2 linked regions of the Struthio camelus genome follow. The protein of the gene in region 1 purifies or fractionates together with the protein of each later gene. This does not show direct contact. Links are inferred from orthologs where the notes say so. Each region holds a gene or a part of one and is shown on either strand. Other genes may lie near its edges.

Region 1 (8,029 bases):
TCCCTTTAAAGCTTTTTTTCTCTCTGGCAGTCATCTGAAGGGAGCAACATTTATCTTGAGCTAAATAAGTGCGGCCTGATAGATGAAGACAGTGTGCTGTGAGTATGCAATAAAAGCAAGTTGGCTGGACAAAGGCTGCATCTTTCCTCACATCCACTTTACTTTTCCTTTTCAAGGATGACCCGCTACAGCTCCACTAGCAACAAAAGCGAGGCTATTTTTACTCTTGCAAGGGAAGCCCAGGCTTTGCCAGATGTGGAACACAGGCTTGTGCTGAATTATGAGAGAATCAGGAGAGAAGGGAGCTTATTTCTGCAGGAATCTACATAAAGATGAGAGGTAGAAGGTAAACGATTGAGAGGATACATGGAAACACTCTTGACAGCTGGCTTGCAGAATTAAGACGCAATAGGGGAAATGAAGAGGTCAGGCTACATGAGGTTAGAGCTGACTTCATGGGAACTAGAGATGCTGTATTTTTCAGTAGGAACTCAATAAATTATAACATTAACGAGAGAGGAAAAAAATTGTGCATCTGAAAGGTGTTTTTGAGGGAATACAGAATATGCATGACAAGGAAATTGCATAAGAAGGATCTCAAGCTAATTCCAAAATTCCCCCCTTCCCCAAAAAAAGAAAAGAGGAGGTAGGGAGGCACTAGGTAGGGGACAGAATAATCACAGAAGGACCCATCAGGTTTAAATAAATGCTGACACACCAGAAAGCAGGAAAAAAAAACAGATAAAGAAATGCATACACAATTTCGTTAGTACTTCTTCTATTCCTTTAAAAAACTTCTCAGAATAAATAATTACTGCATTTTACTGTGTTATGATAAATACAGTAATATTGTATATTCTTCATATTTTGATTACTTCCTTACCTTTCTTCACAAAAGTATCAATGAATTCATGAGTGACCAATTCATGAAGCAATAAATTCCTCACCAGATAGTACTCTCCAACATCTGCAATCGTACTTTTCAGCATTTCAGGTAGTATGCCACATTCGGGGATCAAAAAAGACACCTATTAGGAACACATTTGTAATGTAAGTAATGTCCAAAAATTGTTCTAGAGGAAAACAGAGACATATAAAAGAAAATCTCTTTTTGAAGAGAACAGTATGTTACATCAAAATGAGATAAGGAAAAAAAATTAAGTTATTATCTTCAAAATTTAACAATCTGCACAAAGTCTCCATATGTACAGCAATAAATTATTTGGATTTTGCATTTTACATGCTATACAATAGCATTTGATGTGTTACACAATGAGATAATTTTACACGGCATGACTTGACAGAAGATCTTGTTTCAAGTCATGATGAAGTTAGCTTGGAATATTTCCTTCAGCCCTTGTTGCATGACGCAGTTATAATTAGGAATGTATGCTAGGCATTTATGTAATCTCCATTAAAAAGTTAAAATCAATGTGGAATTTAAACTTCTTTTTGAATAAATACATTCTACTCTGAAATACTTCAGAAGTCAGCAGATTTAAGACATCACCAGACAAAAACCTGAAGATGGTCTTATGATTGCCAAAATAGTCATAAAAATTGTAAAGTCTTTTTCCTTTTTTAAAAGGAAAGGCTAAGATTAAGGCTTAGTTAAGGCTAAGATTTCAGTAATAGGTTGCTAATTTAAACTAGGAAACTAATTCTCAAAAGGGATGAACATCTAGCTGTTCTTACTAAATTCAGCACTCAGTCTTTCAGTCCAATTGCCTACCATTCATTTCCATTTACTGTGTTTAAAGCCTTTGCTGTAAGTGTTTCACTGATCAAGAGGTTTTCTAAGTCCATGGCAAACAAACTTACTACCTGGGCAGGTACCAAGCATCCCAAAAAGCATGCACTAGCAGGAGAGCCCCCGCCCTCATCCCCTAAAAACACTTATCTAGAAAAAAGTTTTTCCAAAACAAAACGGCTCACAGAAAATGGGTACGCATCTCCTTTGGCACACACATACATACAAGAGGAGTAACAACTGACAGATTAGCCACTTACCACCGAATTAGCAACCTTCTTAGTTAGCTACTCAAAAAATTGCTGAGGCAAGGACACAGATGGGATCTGACTGAAACTTGCAGCAGTCTAAGGCAACAGTAAGCAGGCAAACATTGGACACTGCAGCGTTACGTTGTTAAAATGAGGAAGCAGCTGTTGATAACGACACTACACAATACGTTGGGAGAAGCGCATAAAACACGGGAGAAGGGATTTTCAAGGTCCTTTACCTGAAGCCACGCTTCAGCTGAAACACGACAGCCCTCACTGCTTTGACGAGACACGCTCGTGGGTACAGCCACCCACGTTACTTTCTCGGCGGCACTCACCCCACACAACTTTTGTCACCTCTTCCACCACTTCACCCTCGCACTTCTGACCAACCAACCAACCCCAACCACGAGCACTTCGCTCGGGCTAAGGCTTGTTTTGGCTTCACTGCGGGAGAGGGACTGTTTCGGGAAGAGGGCCCTCCAGCAGCTCAGCCTTTTGACCACAGGAAAACTACGTGGGTTAGCAGCCCCGCGTGGGCTGGCCGCGCTCTGTTCAAGGCCCATAGTAAAAGGGGGCTACCGGGCACCATGCGCCAGCGCGGCCATCTCACCCGCGGGCTCCTCCCCGCGCCCCAGAGCCACTAACGGCCGCCGGACGCGCTCCCGCGACGGTTAACACGGGCAGCGACCGTTAACAACCGTCCCCCCCGTCCACCCCGGACGGGCGAGCGCGCGCGCGCGCGCACTCACGCGGCAGTTGTAGGCGTGGTCCCGCACGTGCGCCGCGTGGCGCGAGCGCGCGTGCCGCGCGTGGCTCTTCTCGCACACCAGCAGGTGCCGCGGCGCCTGGCGGAGCCGCCGCAGCGGGAGCGACATCCTGCTCCGCGCGGCCCGCGCGCCGCGGGAAGAGCCGCCAATGGGGCAGCGGCCCCGCGCAACGTCACCCGCCTCCCGAAAGGCACACGAGCGCAGCGCGGGCGGGGCGGGGGGGGAGGAGCTGTGCCAGGAGGTCACTTCCGCCTGCGTCGGCCCCGCGGTGGCGGGAGGTGCGCGCATGCGCAGCCGCAGAGGGCGGGGCGGCGCGGCGGGGCGGCGGTGGGGTCTGTCCAGTCGCACACGCCCGCAGGCGGGTGCGGGGTGCGGGGTTGGGGTCGGCGGTGTCCGAAAAAGCCCGGCCTGAGTCCGGCTGCAGAAATTCACACGCTTTGGCTTTTCGAACAAAGGGATTTGTTTCAAAAATAGCCGCCCTGCGGCCTGGCCCTGCGGGAGGTGGGCTGAGGCCCGGCCTGCGCCCACCTGGCTGGCAGCGGGAGCGGTGACCGACGCGTGGCTCGCCCAGGCCGGCAGCTCGCAGCTGCACGCAGGAGCGTCCTTCTCGGTGTCGAGGAGGACCGGACACCGGCCCCCGACTCCTCTATCCCTCAGCACCTTCAGCAGCAAAGCTGTGTCCTATCTCCCACCTGTTCGTTGCTCCCCTCACCAGCTTGGGTACTGCAGAGTCCCAAAGGCTGCGAGCGGACCCCGTTGGCATCAGGAGGGGATGCGTTGGCCCTGCAGGTGTGTTTCCTGCTGGGGAATGTTTTTAGGGGACACGGACGCTTGGTCGGAAGGAGGAGACTGCTAGAAATATGTCATGGTATGCCTGGTGGCGTTGGGCAGCCTTCAAGATGTCAGACCTACTTTCATGTGGGCAACCTCCATTCTTCTATGCTCAACAAATACAGAAAATATGTAAACCCAAGAAGCTGCACAGGTGTTTGAGCCATGTGAGAAAGTCCATTATCAACATGCTATGCGAGGCCATCAGGACCCTGTGGAGATATACTAAATATCTGAATTATAATGACAAAATTGGGTCCGTTAGAACTCTGAGTATATTTATAATAACATCTGCAGTTTTACAAGATCATGAAAATAAGATCTTCTGTCTTGTACAGTCTTCTACTTACTTCAGCTCACACTAGGTAGGATTACTCAGTTTAGTAAACACTGTGCTTAAGTGGGAGTGGACCACTGCCTGCAATGCATCCTCTCTCAGATCGTTGTCTACATGGTGTATTTTGTATAAAGAATACCCCAAAATTTCATCATCCCCTCTTACTTGAGTTATTGTCTCTGTGGTCCCCTAACTTTATTTTCTCTCATTTCATTGTAAATGGTACCTAACAACTTTTTTGGTATTTATTGTGCTCTTTCTATGCACTGTGAAAGGCTATATTTAAGTTTACTTAAAATGTGTCTAAGATCTGTTCACTAAACACCCATCAAGCTAGTAATGCTGAACTTCAGTTTTTAGACTAGTTTGACAGCAGTGGTTCCAGCAATCACAAGCTCAGTCTGTGAAGATCTTGACCTGTCATTTCTAGATTTTATGTCTGATGTTAAAGTTCAGGAGTACGTGAGTTTGATTACTCAGGTCCTCTAGGTGATTGAATGTAAAAAAGAAAAAGGTTGTTTTAGTTGCTAAATTGGTTTTAAGGTATAGACTGTGGTAAGGTCATTTGGTTAACAGCTACAGTGTTATGCAGATATGAATCGTCAAATTCCAATGATTTTACTAATTCACTGGTTACAAATTGCTGTGGTTTGATGCCACAATTCAAGTACCCATGTTCATTACCTGATCAGTTATTGGCTGTTTGAGTGGGGTAAATATATTGCATTTATGTTTTCTAGATATGCATTTCCAGTTTGATGAATTTATGTTGTGGCTCAAGCTGCCGTGTTGCATGTGTCTAGGCTCCACTTCTGGCAGACGCCGCACTTTTCTGGTGTTCTGACAACGTTTTGGTCTCTATGATGTCGACTAAATAACTATAAAGAGCTACCAGTGTGAAAAGGCTGGTCTTCGCAAGCTCCGTGTTACAGAACCATAGTTGCCTAATGGAAGGAAAGATATTACTGAGAAGTTACTAGTTCAGTGTTTCTGGCTTACTAGGCTGATTCAGACCCGCTCGTTTCTGAGTATGTGCTTCCCAATTGCTTTTTTACTAAAATATCATTAAGATAGTGTTGCTCTGGACTCAGTGGCTGAATCCTCTGACTTGTGAGACTAAAGTACATATCTTGAGGTCACTGGCTGCTTAACATTTATAGAGAAAGTCTGAATTCTGCACTTACATTGCCTCTGCAAATTGGAATAATTGGATTATTATAAATCAGAAATGGCTCTTGCATATGTAATCACAGTAGCCTTCTAATTTAAAGCATGACAAAATTAATGGGAAAAACACTACTTGATTAATGTCATTTGTTGTACCCAAAAGCTGAAACCTCTGTGAGCAGACAAGCATTACACTGTGATGATCAGAAGACCTCTGTTCTACTAAAGGGGTGAAAAGTTCAAGTCCCTGATCAATAAGCCCAGAGATCCAAAGAGGAAATTCATCCATACTCAAGGCAGCCTGTGGAATTGTGGGGCTGTTGTTGGTGGATTTTATTCGTTTGTTTTTTGTGACCTTCTTTATGCTGATACAATTTATACTTCCTGCTGGGGATAAAAATAAATAGGAGGAGAAATATGGAAAAAAATATGCTGGGGAAGGGGTAACAGTCAAGAGGCACAGTTACATATTCAGCATAGCATTTCAGGGATCTTGGCAAGAGTACAGTTCACTGCAGCTCGGTGAAGGATTCATGTCACTGTTCAGGCAGTTTGCTTCACCTATCAGATAATCAAAATTAACTTCCTCTTTCTCTTATATGTTGTGTATCCTACTGTACAGTGTGTCTGTTTTAGAGAACTCCCTGGAGACTGTGATCTACATTAAAAAAAAAGGGGAAGGTTTTACCCAGTAGTCCATTCAGTGGGCTACATATATGTAAGCTGATTGTTCATAAATGCTGATATTTTCATAATGATTATTACAGTTTTGTGAGTAATTAGGTGTAAGGTTTCTGTATGTTGTTAAAAAAAAAAAAGGTTATTTCAAACTTTAAATAATTTAAGGACTCAGTCCCTGTAAAGCTATCACCGTTTCCCTAGGAATTTCAAACCCGAGACTGGGTAATGCAGTTTTACAGCAATTCAGTCTCTACATGTTTGAAGAGAGTTACAGGCTGTAGTCAAGAGGAAAGAAATGCCTTGAGGCAACCTGTAGTAATAGCTTACAGTAAGGTAGGATCTCTAAAATATTTCCTGGAACTAGTAAAAATTTTATTCAGGTTTTGTTTAAAATGACTGAATTTGGAAAGAAAAGCCTGATCTTCACATTACAGAGACTATTTCTTGTTGCAAAAGCCAACTATTTCTTTCATGCATTGTTTCACTATTGAAAAGCAATCCTAACATTCATTCTGGTGCTTCTTCTGTGATAAAAATTTTGCATGATAAGATACTTACAGTTGTGTACAATCAGATCTTAAAAGCGTTTGTCACATGCATGTTGAATTTGGTTTATGATTTTACACTCCATCCCAATTTTTTTGTTTCTAGTCACTATTTTTTCTTTTTAAATATTGTTGATTACAAAAAAAAAGAAGTTGTCTAAATCTTTTAGCCTTGGCCATTGTAATCAGTACTTTATAAAACAGAAACAAACAGATCTCCCTGATGCCATGTTTATCTGAAATTAATAAAGTGTATAAGACTCACTGTTAGGTTGTAATGTTAAGACTAACTGAAAAATGGCATTTTACTTGATCAGTGTTGACTGCTTTTTTCATTGAGGAAAGTGGAAAGATGGTGAAGCTGTGGATAGTTAGCTTGGTATGCTGTTTTTACACACCCAGGTCCAAATGTTCAGAGCAGTGGTGAATGTAAAAGGGATCCCACTCAGACTTGTTTTTCTAGGGGATTACAAACAAATCTTCTGCCAAGCTGCTCCCCAAAGAAGCTTTTCAAGCCAGGAAGAACATTGAATGCTAACCATGGACTGAGTTGCTGGTTTTGGTTTAAATACTATTAAAAACAAAAAAATCTGTTTCTTTTAGAATTAAACAAAAAAAACCCTGTAATCTGGTAAACCTCACACTCACTCACTCACTCACTCACTCACTCTAGTGACACTAAAGTGGGACAATTAATTAGATGGGTAATTCATCTCACAATCTTCTGGGAAGTGGAAGTGTTTTTGATCTATATTTAGGGAGAGTCTTTACATGCCTTCTAAGGATTAGATTTTGGTTTATCATTGCATGGTGATGGGAAATCTTCATGCAATTGCTCTCTCCACCCAACCAGATATCTCATTGTTGTTCACATTATGGCAGTGGCAAGGCACGTGCATTCTTACAAGATGCCCCTTGGGGCAAGGTATTCCACAGCATACGGGGAAGAGTTGGAGTATATTTCTCTCTTTGCGCTTTCTGCAGAAGGGAATGAACTGTGGCCATGTTCCCCTGGTTGCTCGCTCTTTTTTCAGGAAATGTCATAGTGAATGTTTCCACACAGCCTCCATCCAGCTAAACCCTGGATAGGCAATAAAACCCTGGATAGGCAATAAATATGTGTCTGTTTCCTTGTCCAATAACAAAACAGGGAAACACTGCTGCCTTTTGCATTGCTAAATCCTCCTCCCCTAGCTCTGTAGATAACAGCCACCTTTTTTTCCTCAAGTCGTCTAACCAATTAACATGATCAAAATTAAACTCAGAGCAGTTTTGTTCTCAACCTGTACATAATTTTTCCACTTACATCAATTCATCTATTAATAGATATTACCTGCCCCTGCAAACATTGCCTTGGATATGTCCTTAAGAGCATTGTATTTCCAGTAATGTTAGTACTGATCCTGGGATTCCAGCAGGGCATGCTGTTCTTTTAGTGCACCTTCATGAAAATGCAGAATCCAAAGCAAAGAGAAACATTTCCTCCTTTCCTTTTAAAGGAAAGTCTGTGCTGAAATTTTAAAAGTATTCAAACTGGGATGCTTCTTCTGTTAAGATCAGAGCAGAGTAATTTCTTCCTGTTTCAGTAAATCAAGTTTTCAGTCTGCTTGAAGGGAGAGGATTCACAATTCCCACCAATAAATCATTAATTTTTTTTTTTACCTATTATTGTGTACTAGTTTCTATGTTTGATGATT
Region 2 (7,017 bases), on another chromosome or scaffold:
GCAGGGCTTCCTCGGCGTGATTTCGCGCACGAGTCCCGGAGCCCCGGGAACTTTTTTCTGCATCAAAACAAAGAGACTTAAAACGCCAAAAAGAGCAGAGGAGCTCTGCACAGTTACAGCCCCGCGGCCCCTGCCGTCCCTGTCCCCAAAACCACATCTTTTGGCATCTTCCGAGCAGAGATCTGGGAGGGGAGGGAGGCTGGACTCGTATTCCCCCGAGAAGTGAAGACTGGATTTTTAACGGAGCAGGACACTGACCCTGAAAACCAACTCCCAAGCTAGGGGAAGCTTCCCCGTCTCGTGACTTCCCCCCCGCTCCCCCGGCTTTGTCCCTGCCTGGGAAAACAAAACGAAACAAAAGGCTTAAAAAGCAAATAAAACAACAACAACTGGGAATTAATATTCAATTACACGGCGGCAGATAAGTGAAAGGAATCAATCTGTGGCAGGGCAGATAAGCACAGGCCTCGGGCCGGAGGAGCAGCTGTCTGCTCGGGGAGATAACAAGGTCATGGCGAAACAAAACGCCCGAAACAAAACGCCCGGCTTCCTCCTCCTCCTCCTCCTCCTCCTCCTCCTCCTCCTCCTCCTCCTGCTCCTGCTCCTCGCCTTCGCCTGGCGCAGCCCTGAGCCGAGCGGAGCCGGGTGCCTTCGCGAACAGCCCTCCGGGAGATAAAACGCCCGGGGCGGCGCGGACCCGCTCGAGGCGCTTCGGAGCAGAGGGCAGAATAAAAACGACGACCGAAAACCACGCGAGCCCGGACCGAGCCGAGGCGGCTGCTCGTTTGCGAGCCGTACTCGGGACGAATCCCAGAGCCGCGAGGCGCTGAGCCCGGCTTTAATAAACCTGGCAGCTCGTCTCCGGGCGTAACTGAAGCCGTTCGGATAACGAAGGCGTTGCTCCAAGGGGCTCTGAGCGAAGCCATCGCGCCTGACGTCGGAGACATCTCAGCGCGCATCAACGACACGCGGGCGCCGGACCCGCGGGAGCACCTCTCCGAAAGGCGAAGGCTGCTCCCGCTCCTGCGGCGGGGCCGGCGCCGTCCCGGAGAGCTGGCGAGAGCCCTGCCCGGGCTCCGCGTTCCCCGCCGGCAGCCTGCAAATCGGCCCCGTCCCCTGGCATGCCGGGGAGCTCAGCGCTGAGACCCGAGCAACTCGTTGCTCGTGTGGTCAGCACAAGGCCACCCTAACCGGTTCCCACCCCTCCCTCCCCGTCGCTTTCCTCTGCGCGGGGGGCCGGGGTGCCGTCCCGCCGGGCAGGGGGAAACACCCGAGGTGCTGGAGACAGAGGGTGGTGGCGGGGAGAACAAATTTGGGACCGGAGGGTTGTCCCGCGCCCCGACCCGCCGCGGCCCCCCCCGTTCCGGCCGGCGGTGGTGCAACGGAGAGCCGGCGGGGCAGAGGGGCTGCGGCGGCCCGCGGCACCCGCCGCCGGCCGGGACCAGCACCCGCCGCCGGCCCCAGCCTGCTCCCGCGCCCCGCGGAGGGTCCAAGACGCGGGCGCTGGCTGCTCTTCCCCCCGGCCCCGGCGGCAGCCCCCGCGGGGCGAGCACCCTCGCCGGGCCGAGGGGCGCCAGGGGAGTCAGTGGTGGTGGCCCGCCTGGAGGTCCACGGTGCCGGCGCCCCGGGGGCCGTCGGGGACCTCTACCTGCACCTTCTTGCTCGCCAGCTCCTCGCGGGGAGGCGCCGGGGGTCTCTTCAGCCCCTTGGCGGACGAGCTGGGCGCCTCTGCCCCGGCCTGGCTCTCCTCCGCCCGCGGCCCCGCGCCGGGCTCCGGGGGCTGGTAGCCCGTCTGGGTGGGATCCAGGGGGTCCCGGGAGAGCAGGATGCAGATGGAGGGCACGTTCTTGTGGACGGTGAGGTTCTGCGCCGGGCTGCCGGGCAGCGGGTCCTTGTTCTCCCACACCTCCAGCAGGGTTTTGTAGCGTACCTTGGTGACCTGGTGAAGGCCTCCCAGCTTCCTCTTCATGATCTCCACGCAGGTGATGGTCTTGGTGACCGCCCTGCCGCAGCCGCTGAAGACGATCTGCCGGCTGCCCTTCAGCTCCATCTGGGCCATGGCGAAGCCCATCAGGTTCCTGATCTTGCTGCCCTCCTTCACTTTCATCTCCACCACGCCGGGCGGCAGGTCGGGGAAGGGCAAGGGGCTCTCCTCCTCCGACGTCCTGACCTTTCGGAAGTTCTCCATCCTGGACTGGGCGACGGGCTTGGCTCCCCCTCCTCCGGCAGCCATCCCTCGCCGGCGGGGAGCGCGGATCCGAGGGGGCACCTAGCCCCCGGCCACCACGACGCGGGTCCCTCCGCCGCCCGCCCGGAGGAGGTCGAGTTTGACGCGGCACCCCCGGGACCACCAGCCCCTACCGCTGTCCTTGGCTGGCTGCGGAGGAGCTAGCAGCTGGCGCGGCGGCGGTGCCGGAGGCTGTCCTGCGGGGAGCCGGAGCTGCTGGGTGCCCGGGGTGTCCCCTGCGTCCTCGCGGCGGCGCTGGGCGATGCCTGGGCTCCTGCGCTCCCGCTGCAGCGCTCGCTTCTGCTGCTCTTTGCTTCATTCTGGACTTCAGCAGCCCCCAGAGCCGTTGTGTGTAATTAGCAGATCCTCCCCCTCTCCCTCCCCTTCCTCCCCTCCTCCTCCTCCTCCTCCCCCCCCCCCTCGCTCAGCCTCCCAGCCCCGCGCCCGGCGGAGGCTCCCCAGCGCCCAGGGCCGGCGAGCGGGCGACGGCGGGGAGCCCGGCGAGCCCCGGCGAAGGCGGAAGGCAGAGCCCAGCGCTCGCCCTCGGCTTCCCAGCGCCGCCCGAGTCCTGCCCCTTAAAGCGAACCTGGTCGCTTCGCCCCCCCCGCGCCGGCCGTCTCGGCGCTGGCTGCGACGGGGCGGCGTGGATAACGCAGGGACGGGGCGCTGGGCAGCCTTCGGGATCGGCCCGCGGCCGCCTGCCAGGCAAAGCCGCCCTGGGGGCGCCCAGGGAGCGACGAGCCCCCAAAACGTGCCTGCCCGGCGCAGAGCTGAGCCTGAACCGCTCCCCGGGAAGAGGCCGTGTCCCTGGCCGAGGCTGGCCCTTTGGCTGCCCTTGCCACCTCCCGGCGTGCCTGTCCCCTCCTCTCCCCCCGGCGGATCATCGCACACTGGAAAGACATCCCGCGTATTGACTTGCACTCAAATCTTATCGGCCTCTGGAGGCCCCTGGATTGTTTTCACCCTGGCAGGGCTTGAAAAATACGTAAATAAATCACTCGACCTGATGCCAACGTAGGTGAAACCTGCGGGACGGCAGGCCGTGGCCGGTCCCCTTCCCGGCCAGGACGTCTCTGCGGGCCCCAAACAACCTGCCTAACCCAGGGGTCCAAGCGCTGGGGCTTCGGGACACCGCAGGGACCCACGTTCGGGGCGGGCGCAGAGCCTAGCGGCGAGGTCTGCAGGGAGAAGGCTGCTGCACCCAAAGAGGCCGGAGACTGGATCCCTTTGGCGCAGACAGGGGAAACCGAGGCAGGGAAGGTGACGCCGTTGGCCCAAGCTCACACCCGGCGTCGGGGGCGGATGGAGGCTTGGAGCGCCCGCTAAGTCCCGCCCGGCGCTCTGCGGCAGTGAGCCTGCCTAGGCGCTACGTTTCCAACGCGAACCGCTCGCTCGCACCGGGAAACACAATGTTGTTTTTTTCCCCTTACATGTGATGAATATTTGTGACATCCTTGCATAAGCCGCTCGGCTCCGTTCTCCGGCAGGCTGCCATGGATTAAGCCTCTCATGGAAACTGCTGCCTTTAAGAGATGCATCTTCAGGCTAAAAGACTAGGAAAATAAATGGGCAGGATTTTGGCAACCATTCACAGAGCATCTCGGCTCAGAGCGAAGGACCGGCAAAGCAGCTCTCGTTAACTTTACACATAAACTTTATAGGCATGGAAATTAAAAAAATCTCCATAAGCGATGAAATAGCTCCAGAAACACATTGCTCCGGCACAAAAGCCACGCGTCTTGCGGGAGTCCGGCGCGCTGGGCTGCTCGAGGCGGACGCAGAGCTCGGGCGCGGATGCAGCGCGCCTCGGAGGCTGGAACGCAGCCGGGGCTGGGGCTTGCAGCAGGATGAGTCCCTGGCGCTGAGCCAGCCCACCCAAGGCTCCCTGGGCCGGGACCAACTCCTGCCGCCGGCGGTCCGCGTTTTGGGCGCAGCGTGGTGCCGGGACGCGCCACGCCGGTCGGATGCTGCATCCCGGGCAGCTTCACCCCCCCCCAATTGCTGCTTAACAAACTCGGCTCGTTTGCAGCCTCCGAGACGAGGTGCGATCACGCTAAAGCGTTTCCGCATCGCGAGCAGGGGTTCGGAGGGCGCGCTCCCCCCGCGGCGGGGGGGCAGCAGCGGCAGGGTCTTGCTGTTCCTCGGCAGCGCTTAAAATGCAAATGCATTTCATTATTAGCAGCTCCGCCGCTAATTACCATCTGAAGCCATTCATTACCCTGTCAGCTTGTTTGTTGGAGGACAGCAGAGCGGAGGGGTTATTCCGAGCTGCAATGAGCTCATGCATAAAGAGCAGCGGAGCGGGAGAGGGGAGCAGAGCGGGGCTGCGGGGGGGACACGCCGGGGCAGGAGAGAGCGGGGAGTCGATTAAAATGCGGAAGAGGCAGATGGTAAAAGCGGGGATGGAGAAGCGAGGAGCGAAGCAACTACGCCCCGCGTGCTGCCTGCCTGCCTGCCTGTCTGTCTGTCTTCCCTGAGCATCCGCCGCTGTCGGGGCGGGCGCGAGGCCAGCGGCCGAGGCTGCGGGAGCCGGCGGCGCTTCGGGGGCACGGAGGGAAGGCGAGCGCGAGCGGGTGCAGAGCTAGACGTGACGGTGGCTCAGGCCGAGACCGGCGGGGGGGGAAATGGAAACAAATTCATAACGGAGAGTAGGGAGGCAGAGAGGAGCGTGCCGTAACCCGAGCCCCTGTCCTCCGCCTGCCCTCTCTATATTTTCTTTCATGCGAGGTGCGGGAGTCGTTCGGAAAGTCGAAGCATCCGATACAAGGAAAGTCGCCGTCCATCTCTGCGTCACATCGCCCCGGCTCAGGTCTCAGGCGGTCATCACGTTGCACGCGGCGGCCGAGCCGCCTGCCCTGAGCCTAGCCGGGGCCTGGGAGCGCAGAGCCCCGTCCTTCCGTCCGCGCTCCCGCAGGCGGCGGCGGCGCGGCCAAGGATCCTGCTCGTCCCCGAATCGCTAGCAATAGCGGCGAGCAACGCTGGCTTGCTGCGCGGCGGCTTTCTCCCGCCTGCTCCTTCAGCGCGGCGCTTGCCCCAGGTAACCCACCGAAATGACCCCAAATCCCAGCCCGTGCTACCCGGCAAAGGAAACGTGTATCAGGTTGCCCCTTTGGGTTATGCAGCTGCTATGGGCTTTGGCCCAGGACTAGGAGACCTGCAGCTGGGGTCACCACAGCGTTCAACCACGGTCTAAGAAATACAAGGAGGAACGGCCCTCCAACACGTCTGCCGAGAGGACGCGGGGCCCGGGGCGCCTCCCTGTGCTGCCGAGGGGCTGTGCACCCCTGGGGGTCCGTGCGTGGAAACCACATGCAAGGCAAACAGGGCCGGGATCAACAGAGTGAGCCTACAAGTCAGCAAATCTGGTGTCCATCACAGGGCCTAGTGGAGGTCAGTCCTTCTGTGCTGGAGAGAAAGCCCTCAGTGATGGCACCCTCCCCATGGGGCTGGGCAGGAGCCGGGCTTCCTGGCATAGGGACAAGAGCAGCTTAAGAGGGACCTGTCAGGGCCCTGAGGGCACTAAAATTTCTTAATGGCCCTGACCAGCATCACCTGGGGCCTCCACCTGCCCACCCTCAGTGCCCATTTAAGTTCAGTCTATGGCCATCAACTCTATTGTAGGGGTGTTGCTCCTCAGCCTGGCCACAGCTGTGCCTGGCTGGGGATGCGGCTGGTCCAGACCCCAAGCTGTGGGCTGACTTCCTAGGCTGGCCTTTGGCTCTGCCTCCTCAGCCTGAGCTTGCTGCTGGTCTGGACTCCTGGGTTTGCCCTGCTTGGGCCTGTGGGGTTGGGCCAGGCCCTGGCTGGTGGAGCCCCTGCCCTGCTGGTTGTGTGTTTGCTGGCCCTTGCTTGTGCCCTGGCAGAGCTGGCACTAGCCTTCCCTGGGGACCCCAGTGGAAATGACCCTTTCTTGGACACCTCAAATTACAGGCAAGTATCCAAAAGGGAGAGACCTTGGGTTTGAGCTCCCATGTGTGGGAGCAATGGGGGCCAGCAGAGTGACTCCAGCTCCAGGCTGGAAGAAGGAGCAAGCCAGCCTGACTGGGCAGAGCACCCAAAGGGAGCAGCAAAGGCCCAGCAGTCCTCTGGATCCCATGGGCCACCCCACAGTGGCTGTGGATGTGACCAGCCCCTTTGAGAAGCCCTCCCTGAGAAGGAAGAGCTTCCCATTTGCTCTGGAAGGGAAGCCCTGGAGGATTGCAAACTGTAAAGAGAGAAGCAGGCAGAGGTTGGGAAAGGAATGGAAATGCTAGTGGGTATGTGTAAAATGTACATGGAGGAAATATGCCTAGGAGGGCCTCTTGAGGCCAGCTGCTTGTCCACCCTGCCCCCTTCCTCCTGTGGAAGGTGCTGGTCACCCTGATTCCCCTGGGTGGATGTCTCCTAAGAGGACTTTTATTTCTAAAGCAAATATCCCAGCCTAAATGCCCTCTCCCACCATCAACACCGCCCAACCCTGGTCTATCCAAAAAGAAACTGGTCCTCCAGGTACGTGCTGCCTGTGACAAGGCTCTTCTGCCCCTGGAGAAGGTCACTTTGCTCCTGTGTAGCTCTCACTCAACCTCTCGCAGAGAAACTGGCTTCTCTGCTTCCCTCTGAGCCTGTGTACCTGAGGGTTTGTGGTGCTGCAGGGCAGAGTGTTGCTCTCTTGTGTCCCTGAAGGCTCCCAGGCACCTGCCACCTCCCCTGGCATCATGGTGGGAGGAGGAGGGGACATGGGTGCAGGTGGAGTTCAATGATGGCTGGTCATGGGAGCGGGGCCCCCAGCAGAGGAGGAGCTTTGCAAGCCA

The links.
Region 2: the proteins of RPP40 (region 1) and RPP25 purify together in Homo sapiens (affinity purification with mass spectrometry; 3 studies listed by BioGRID and IntAct, counting the BioPlex papers as one, with this or other methods). This does not show direct contact. The link is inferred for Struthio camelus from reciprocal best matches to the Homo sapiens genes RPP40 and RPP25.

Annotation. Positions count from the first base shown.
Region 1 is NC_090943.1:103,784,173-103,792,201, reverse strand, and holds the start of RPP40 (ribonuclease P protein subunit p40), read right to left. Parts: upstream 3,039-8,029; 5' UTR 2,880-3,038; coding exon 2,754-2,879; exon of another isoform or gene 2,241-2,753; intron 2,098-2,240; exon of another isoform or gene 2,011-2,097; intron 1,029-2,010; coding exon 884-1,028; intron 1-883. UniProt on the Homo sapiens protein: Component of ribonuclease P, a ribonucleoprotein complex that generates mature tRNA molecules by cleaving their 5'-ends. Also a component of the MRP ribonuclease complex, which cleaves pre-rRNA sequences.
Region 2 is NC_090953.1:23,324,514-23,331,530, reverse strand, and holds RPP25 (ribonuclease P protein subunit p25), read right to left. Parts: upstream 2,592-7,017; 5' UTR 2,234-2,591; coding exon 1,583-2,233; 3' UTR 570-1,582; downstream 1-569. UniProt on the Homo sapiens protein: Component of ribonuclease P, a ribonucleoprotein complex that generates mature tRNA molecules by cleaving their 5'-ends. Also a component of the MRP ribonuclease complex, which cleaves pre-rRNA sequences.